Yarrowia lipolytica: one gene and its partner. The protein of the gene in region 1 purifies or fractionates together with the protein of each later gene. This does not show direct contact. Links are inferred from orthologs where the notes say so. Each region holds a gene or a part of one and is shown in the gene's direction. Other genes may lie near its edges. The genes, in order: YALI1_B16544g and YALI1_C04401g.

Region 1 (3,870 bases):
TCGAGGGTGTAAAAACAGAGGCTGGGGTTTCAGATGTAGAAAAGCCGTAGGGATGCTCTCAAAGATGGCACCGAGCGTGTGGTTAGTTGGCAGTCAGAGATGAAAAATGCTGGGTGTGTGAGTTGTGACAGCTGCCTTCTGTGGTGAGTCTGGATACAGGTCTTGTACGATGGGACTGTAACCCGGCTTGGTTTCCGCTCCTTCTGATTTGGCTTTGAATGCAACTTAATATTGTAACATTATCAGGTGGACAGGAAGCGTTAGTTACAGCAGGATTGTAGGCACTTTTGTTGGGTGGGAGTGAGCAGTTCCAACGGTAGAGCGTATGTATAGTATCGTATAGAAGAGTAGACAACTGAAGCATCGAGAAGTGTTGATAGGGATGAGACATACGGGATGGAGACACACTCGGTAATGACGAAAAACAAACGAGACAGAGCCATTCACACACGACTAGCTCGAAATCAGTCCCCATGTGGAAATAAGCCTCATGACATGGTCCCAAACCAGGCTACTCGTGACTGTGTTTCCAGAGAAACCATACGACAGGACCATTGGTCCAGTCGTCAGCACATGTGGGAGCGTAGAGGAATCTTAGAGGGGAGCTTGGAGGGACAATTAGGATGCATCTCGTATATGGCGTAATCTGGTTAATATGCAAAAATGTTGATCTCAGTTCTTCCTCCCAGATCAACCTCCTCTTTTACAGTATAACCAAAAATAATAAAAGCCCGTTGAGCAGATGCGGATGTCCTTGTTATGTGATGATGGTAAGCACTTGCAGTATGTCGAATCCAGTATGTACGGTATCATACAAAGCATGGTCGGGTAACATAGTACAATAGTACATACTCGTACTCGTACTGTACTCGTACAGGTATGTGCTGTACCCGCTATCTAATGTATGCTGCGAACGGTCAGTGTTAATGGCGGGATCATCGCTGTAAGTACAGTACGCTTTGTGACAAATTGAACTGTATGACCGGAAAAAATTGGGCCAACTTTGAATCGAAAATATGCACAGAAAAATTGGGCCTGGATAACTGGACATTTCATGCTATGGGGTATGGTATAACCCACCCTACAATAAATTAGACCAATAGTGGCGAATAATTCAATTCGACCACGACCTCAACATTGAGCTACAATAGCTTTATTGGCCCTATTGAGCACGCTACAATTCGGTCCAGTATGTACAACGTCTATGCGCACTAACGGCCATACAGTGAGTTACAGCACACCCAAAAGTAACCCTGCCTGACCTGTCTGCCTGAGACAGGAAGATTAACTCTTGTAGTGACCGAGCTCGATAAGACTCAAGCCACACAATTTTTTTATAGCCTTGCTTCAAGAGTCGCCAAAATGACATTACACAACTCCACGGACCGTCGGTTCCATGTCCACACCCTTGGATGGGTAAGCGCTCCACGCACGTACCACGTGCATTGAGTTTAACCACAAACATAGGTCTGTGTCCCAGAGTTACCCTGCTGCATCAGCCAAGTCTTGAAAGCAAAATTTCTTGCACAATTTTTCCTCTTCTTTTCTTCACTGATCGCAGTCCAAACACAAACAATGTCTATCGCCAAGATCTACGACCTCCAGGTGAGTCAATTGTCTCCTTGATTGAGTATATTCCTTTGGTTTCTCCTCAGATCAAGCACACAAACCGCACAGATCACGGATCTTGTTTCTGTTGCATGCCGTCCTCATGCCACCTACTAACGACAGACCCCCCGATACACTTCTATCAAGGCCCTCATCAAGCACTTCAAGCTCGATGTTGAGGTTGTCCCCAAGGACGCCGAGTTCGAGAAGCTCTTCCCTCTCAAGAAGGTCCCTGCCCTCCTGACCGCCAACGGCACTCCCATCCACGAGTTCGTTGCCGTCTCCTACTGGCGTGAGTATTTCCCCCAAACAACAACCCCTCCCTTGCAAAATGATGAAACATTTTTTTTAAACAGTTATCCCTGTCTAAATAACTTTCGTGTTGAGAAATGGTACCTGACATTTACTCTCATTGCAACCCGCATTGATCCATACCATACAATTATACTAACCGCATAGTCCTCTCCCAGATCCCCAACCACCCTCTTTGCGGAAAGAACAAGGACGAGGAGGCTGAGGTTCTCCAGTGGGTCTCTTTTACCAACTCCGATATTGCGGATGCCACCTGGAACGTTTTCGGCCCTCTCAAGGGCTACCTTCCTTACAACAAGAAGGCTGTCGATGCTCTCTCTGACAAGCTCGACCAGACCGTCAAGGCTACCTTTGAGGCCCACCTCACCAAGAACACCTACCTTGTCGGCGAGTCTGTCACTTACGCTGATATCGCCGCTGTCGGCCTGATGTCTCTTGGATTTGCTAACCTCTTTGACGCCAAGTGGCGAGCTGCCTACCCCGCTACCACCCGATGGTTCACCACCGTCGCTGCCAACCCCATCTACTCTGGCACCGACTTTAACCTCTGTGAGGAGCGAGTCAAGTACGTCGCCCCCAAGAAGGAGGAGCCTAAGAAGGAGGCCAAGAAGGAGGCTGCCCCCAAGGCCCCTGCTCCCGCTGAGGAGGCTGCCCCTAAGAAGGCTGCCCATCCTCTTGCCGCCCTCGGCCCCGCCAAGGAGCCCATTGACAACTGGAAGCGAGTCTACTCCAACGAGGATACCCGAGAGAAGGCCATCCCCTGGTTCTGGGAGCACTACGACCCCGAGGACTACTCCCTCTGGAAGGTTAAGTACAAGTACGACGATGAGCTGACCCTCACCTTCATGTCCACCAACCTCATTGGTGGCTTTGTCAACCGACTGTCTGCCTCCACCAAGTACATGTTCGGTACCTCCGTCGTTTACGGAACCAACAACGACAATGGTATTATCGGTGCCTTCATGATCCGAGGCCAGGACCACGTTGCTGCCTTCGACGTTGCCCCCGATTGGGAGTCTTACGACTTCGTCAAGCTCGACCCCTCCAACCCCGAGGACAAGGAGTTTGTCGACAACATGTGGGCTTGGGATAAGCCTGTCGTCACTGCCTCTGGCGAGTCCAAGGAGATTGTCGACGGTGCTGTTCTTAAATAAGTGCAAACCAAGTAATTTATTGTGTAGTCTAGGATTGACATTTGATTACCGTGTACATTAAATGAATGATTGTAAATTGAAAGAGGAAGTGTAGCAATGGTTGAATGGGGAGTAATGGGTTACTGTAATTGCATGTCCCACCTTCTTTGCACCGTTCTTGTTGTATACAGTACAATACATACATACCCTATGTATGTTTTTTGTGAATATGATGAGTCTACTACTACAGTAAATCAGCTTTGATCCCTGCCAGAATGTGTGTACACAGTATGGGACTCTCATCCCCTGTACAATATATATAATTGCTTATTAGTTTAATGCATAATGCCATGATGAAACATATTACCTTGACAACTTGTTGATCCATGATTTCCAAGAAGTGTCCAAGTAAAATGATCTCGTTAATCCAGTAAGTATATATACAACCAATATTCTAACAACAGTTAAGATACCCTGTCATGCAATCCGAACAAATAAAGTTCGTCGTCATTACCAGCAAGTCCCATTAACCCCAATTACCCTACCCAATCCTGCACCCGTGCTCAGCACTACGCATAGCATATAAAAAATCTGCTTAGGCTCTCCTTTCCTTCACACACAACAGCAAACAGTGAGTACCACACCCTACACGCTTACAATGATGATCCAAATTGCATTTTTTCTGGCATCTCTAATGTTAGCGTCCTCCGGGACCCGATGAATATAATTTTTACTCTGAAACTTCAGTTTGAAATTCGTTCGTTCTTTTGAATCAACACTAACTCAAGATCCTTGATAGACCTGTCGAGTCCTTTAT
Region 2 (3,950 bases), on another chromosome or scaffold:
GTCGTTGTCCTTGAGCTTGTCCCTGGCCCATACCTTGACCCTGGGCCATGCCTTGACCCTGGTTCATCTGGCCCTGGTTCATACCCTGGCCTTGCATCTGGTTCTGGCCCTGCATCTGGCCCATGGGTCGCAATCCCTGGTTCTGGGGAACCTGTGCTTGGGCTTGGTTAGGAGTCTGTTGACCCTGGCCCTGAGCTCCAGTCACGCTCACGTCACCATGGGCTCGTGCGGCAGCGGCGTGCTGTTGTCCGAGCACAATTTCAATGGCTCTCAGACCCTCCTTCTTCAGCCGGATTTGGTCCAGTTGCTGCTGGAGCTGCTGACGACGATCATCGGTAGTGTTGGGGTCGCCAATGACCTGCTGCATCTGCTCCATGGATTGTTGCCATTCGTGCTGTGTTCGGCGTGACGACTCGAGGTTCTTGACCCGGAACGTCTGCTGCTGCTCGTACGTCATTTCGTTGAAGTTAGGAGGCTGTCGACGCAGCAAGAATGTCTGTGCCTGAAGCAGCTGCTGGTTCATCCGTGGGTTATTTGTGGGGTTGGAGGGGTTAGGAGTGGCATTAGCGGGGTTGGGTGTGTTTCCAGGGTTGGGCGTGCCTGTAGCCTGGGGATTGGGGGTCATTCTACCTTGGCCCTGAGCTTGGTTCTGGCCCTGGTTCTGGCCCTGGTTCATACCCATACCCATTCCTTGCGGAGGGACCTGGCCCTGCGGAGGAACCTGGCCCTGTTGACCTTGCTGCTGTCCCTGTTGTCCTTGCTGCTGACCACCTTGTCCCTGTTGTCCTTGACCCTGACGAGCCATCTGTTGTCTCATTCGACCTTCAACCTGAGTAATCAACTCGCGCAGCCGCTGCGCGTGTACAAAATGCTGCTGGCCACCACTCTGCCGGGACAGCTCAAGAGCCTGATGGTAGTTTTGGTAGAGAGCTCGGAGTTGCTGCTGGGGGTTCAACCGAGGCCGATTCTGGGCGTTGCCCTGGCCCTGGCCCTGGCCCTGGGCACCTTGACCCTGGGCGTTGCCGGCGTTCGGATTCTGTTGGCCCTGCCCTTGATTCATGGTGTCGATGTTGAATCACTATCACTATGGCGTGTCGTGTGGATGGTGTATTTCTAATGGTGGTGATGCGAAAAATAGAGTTCCATGCTGGGACAAGTCATGTGATCTGAGGGAGAAAGGGAGTCCAGTCGAAGTAGTTTGAGGGCAGAGTCAGTAAAAAAAATTGACGTTTCCAAGTTAGAAATCATGGATAACCGGGAGTATAAGTTTGGTTTGTCGAATTTGCCTCTGAATCACTGATAATAGTTCTATGAATTTCCCAAGTACACTTGTTCATGGTACCAAGTAACCTTCAATGTTACAGTATATAATATAAAAACAAATTTAATTTGATTTACTTTAAAAAAACTTAACATATCTAAGTATCACAACCGCCAGTTCGATTCTAAATTGCGCTTTAAACAGGACGGCAAAAGAGACACTTGTTAGGCTCACCAAGGATGACCAAATTGATACTAACTAAAAGCCTAAGTAATATGGCTTCTCTGAGAATGCAGAAGAGATGTTATAACAGGATAATCCGATAGACAATGATATAAACATTGCTGTCCTACAGTATACTGAAGGAATTTATTTCAATGTGGCTTATTTATAAATATATATATATATATCAAAAGTTTTCAAAAAGCCCGACTATGACCCCCAGGTGACTTGTCCGCTTAACTACTCCCAACTAACTTCGTATCTACTGGCGCTACAGCAACACTCTTTGCAGCCTTGCAACATGCAATGACCCATTTCGATCCAATAAATACTTATTGGATATCAATGCTTACCAAACACCACAAACATTCTGCTCACATTGCTCACTCTGCTCAATACTGGACGTGCCATTTCTCTTAGGAAGTCAGCTCAATCTGACATGCTCGCGTCGTTCGGGGTTTGGGCATCCATCTCCCATTCTCCCAACCCTAACCCCCAAACCACTCTTTCTTTGAAATTCCAAGCTCAACCTTGATTTGACACGTATGGTTAATGAGCCCAAAATAGAGACAACCCGGGATATATACGAGTTATAGGAGAGTGTAGCATACTCCAAAACAAGCCTCTACTTAAGCCCTGGCCCTATACAACTTGGCCTGTCACCAACTCTCTGCTCTCTCTCCGGCTTCAAAGTTAGGGTTAGGGATGACAACCAACCAAGTCATCTACTGTATTCAGCAGTGAAAAATTTCATCACCAGGTTAACACCACACACTACAATGCCCCCCAAGAAGAACGTCAAGGAAGAGAAGATTCTGCTCGGTCGACCCGGCAACAACCTCAAGTCCGGAATCGTCGGTCTGGCCAACGTTGGAAAATCGACCTTTTTCCAGGCCATCACTCGATGTCCTCTTGGTAACCCCGCCAACTACCCTTTTGCTACCATTGAGCCTGAGGAGGCTCGAGTGACCGTCCCCTCTGCTCGATTTGACAAGCTCTGTGAGATGTACAAGCCCGCTTCCAAGGTCCCTGCTCATATCACCGTTTACGACATTGCTGGTCTGACCAAGGGTGCTCATGCTGGAGAGGGTCTTGGTAACGCTTTCCTGTCCAACATCCGAGCTGTTGATGCCATTTTCCAGGTTGTTCGATGCTTCGACGATGCCGAGATTATCCATATCGAGGGTGACGTTGATCCCGTGCGAGATCTCCAGATCATCAAGGACGAGCTTCGACTCAAGGACATTGAGTTTGCCAAGAAGCACCTTGAGGGAGTCGAGAAGATTGTCAAGCGAGGAGGACAGTCCATGGAGGTCAAGCAGAAGAAGGAGGAGGCTGCCACCTGCGAGAAGATCATCAAGCTGCTGGAGGACGGCCACCGAATTGCCAACCAGAACTGGACTGGCAAGGAGGTGCTGGTCATCAACGAGATGCTGCTGCTGACCGCCAAGCCCGCCATCTACCTCATCAACCTGTCTGAGAAGGATTACGTTCGAAAGAAGAACAAGTACCTGCTGAAGATCAAACAGTGGATCGACGAGAACTCTCCCGGAGACGTCATCATCCCCTTCTCCGTCTGCCTGGAGGAGAAGCTGTCCCACATGGAGACCGAGGAGGAGGCCGAGGCCTACCTCAAGGAGATTGGTGCCACCACTTCTCTGCCCAAGATCATTACCACAATGCGACAGACTCTCGGTCTGATCTCTTTCTTCACCTCCGGTGCCGATGAGGTTCGAGAATGGACCATTCGAAACGGTACCAAGGCTCCTCAGGCCGCCGGTGTCATCCATAACGATCTCATGAACACTTTTATTCTGGCCCAGGTGACCAAGTACGAGGACCTGGTCGAGTACGGCGACGATGCCTCCGTCAAGGCTGCCGGAAAGCTGCAACAAAAGGGTAAGGATTACGTGGTTGAGGATGGAGATGTCATTTACTTCCGAGCCGGTGCTGGAAAGAACTAGACGAACCAATTGAGCGTAACGGAAGTTGGTGAGTCGAGTAACAGCTAACTAAAAGCTGTTATAAAGTATAATGACAGGCTCATTGCCATGTCCCTGTCTGGTCAACAGATGATGGTTGACAACCTGGTCATAGATAGAAATGTATGGTGAGGTTATAACACTGTAGACAGCGTTTACGTAAAGTAGATGTATGGAAAGAGCCCTAACTGACCGCCCAGAGGATTATCTGGAGTGAACTGTGCGCAGAGAACAAACAAGAGAGCCTAAGACCCCAAAATGGACTCGATACTCACTTGGGTATCCTTGCAGAGAAACCACAGCATCATACCAGAAGGTCGTGTAGCTATTTTAACTAGCGTCTGAGGACATTCATCTTACAGTCTCGCTTCGGATATCCAATCATCCATCCATCTTGACATTTCGAGATGCATGCCATATCTCTAACTCTCATGAGAAGTGCGCCTATCTCATACAAGCATCCATAAGTTGGTTCTACTACTTGT

Evidence for each region.
Region 2: the proteins of YALI1_B16544g (region 1) and YALI1_C04401g purify together in Saccharomyces cerevisiae (affinity purification with mass spectrometry; 3 studies listed by BioGRID). This does not show direct contact. The link is inferred for Yarrowia lipolytica from reciprocal best matches to the Saccharomyces cerevisiae genes TEF4 and OLA1.

Annotation. Positions count from the first base shown.
Region 1 is NC_090771.1:1,652,630-1,656,499, reverse strand, and holds YALI1_B16544g (elongation factor 1 gamma domain-containing protein), read left to right. Parts: upstream 1-1,575; coding exon 1,576-1,605; intron 1,606-1,731; coding exon 1,732-1,900; intron 1,901-2,067; coding exon 2,068-3,074; downstream 3,075-3,870. Other genes in the region: YALI1_B16566g (uncharacterized protein), read left to right, coding at 1-12. UniProt on the Saccharomyces cerevisiae protein: Subunit of the eukaryotic elongation factor 1 complex (eEF1). Probably plays a role in anchoring the complex to other cellular components.
Region 2 is NC_090772.1:437,853-441,802, forward strand, and holds YALI1_C04401g (uncharacterized protein), read left to right. Parts: upstream 1-2,262; coding exon 2,263-3,447; downstream 3,448-3,950. Other genes in the region: YALI1_C04389g (uncharacterized protein), read right to left, coding at 1-1,060. UniProt on the Saccharomyces cerevisiae protein: Hydrolyzes ATP, and can also hydrolyze GTP with lower efficiency. Has lower affinity for GTP.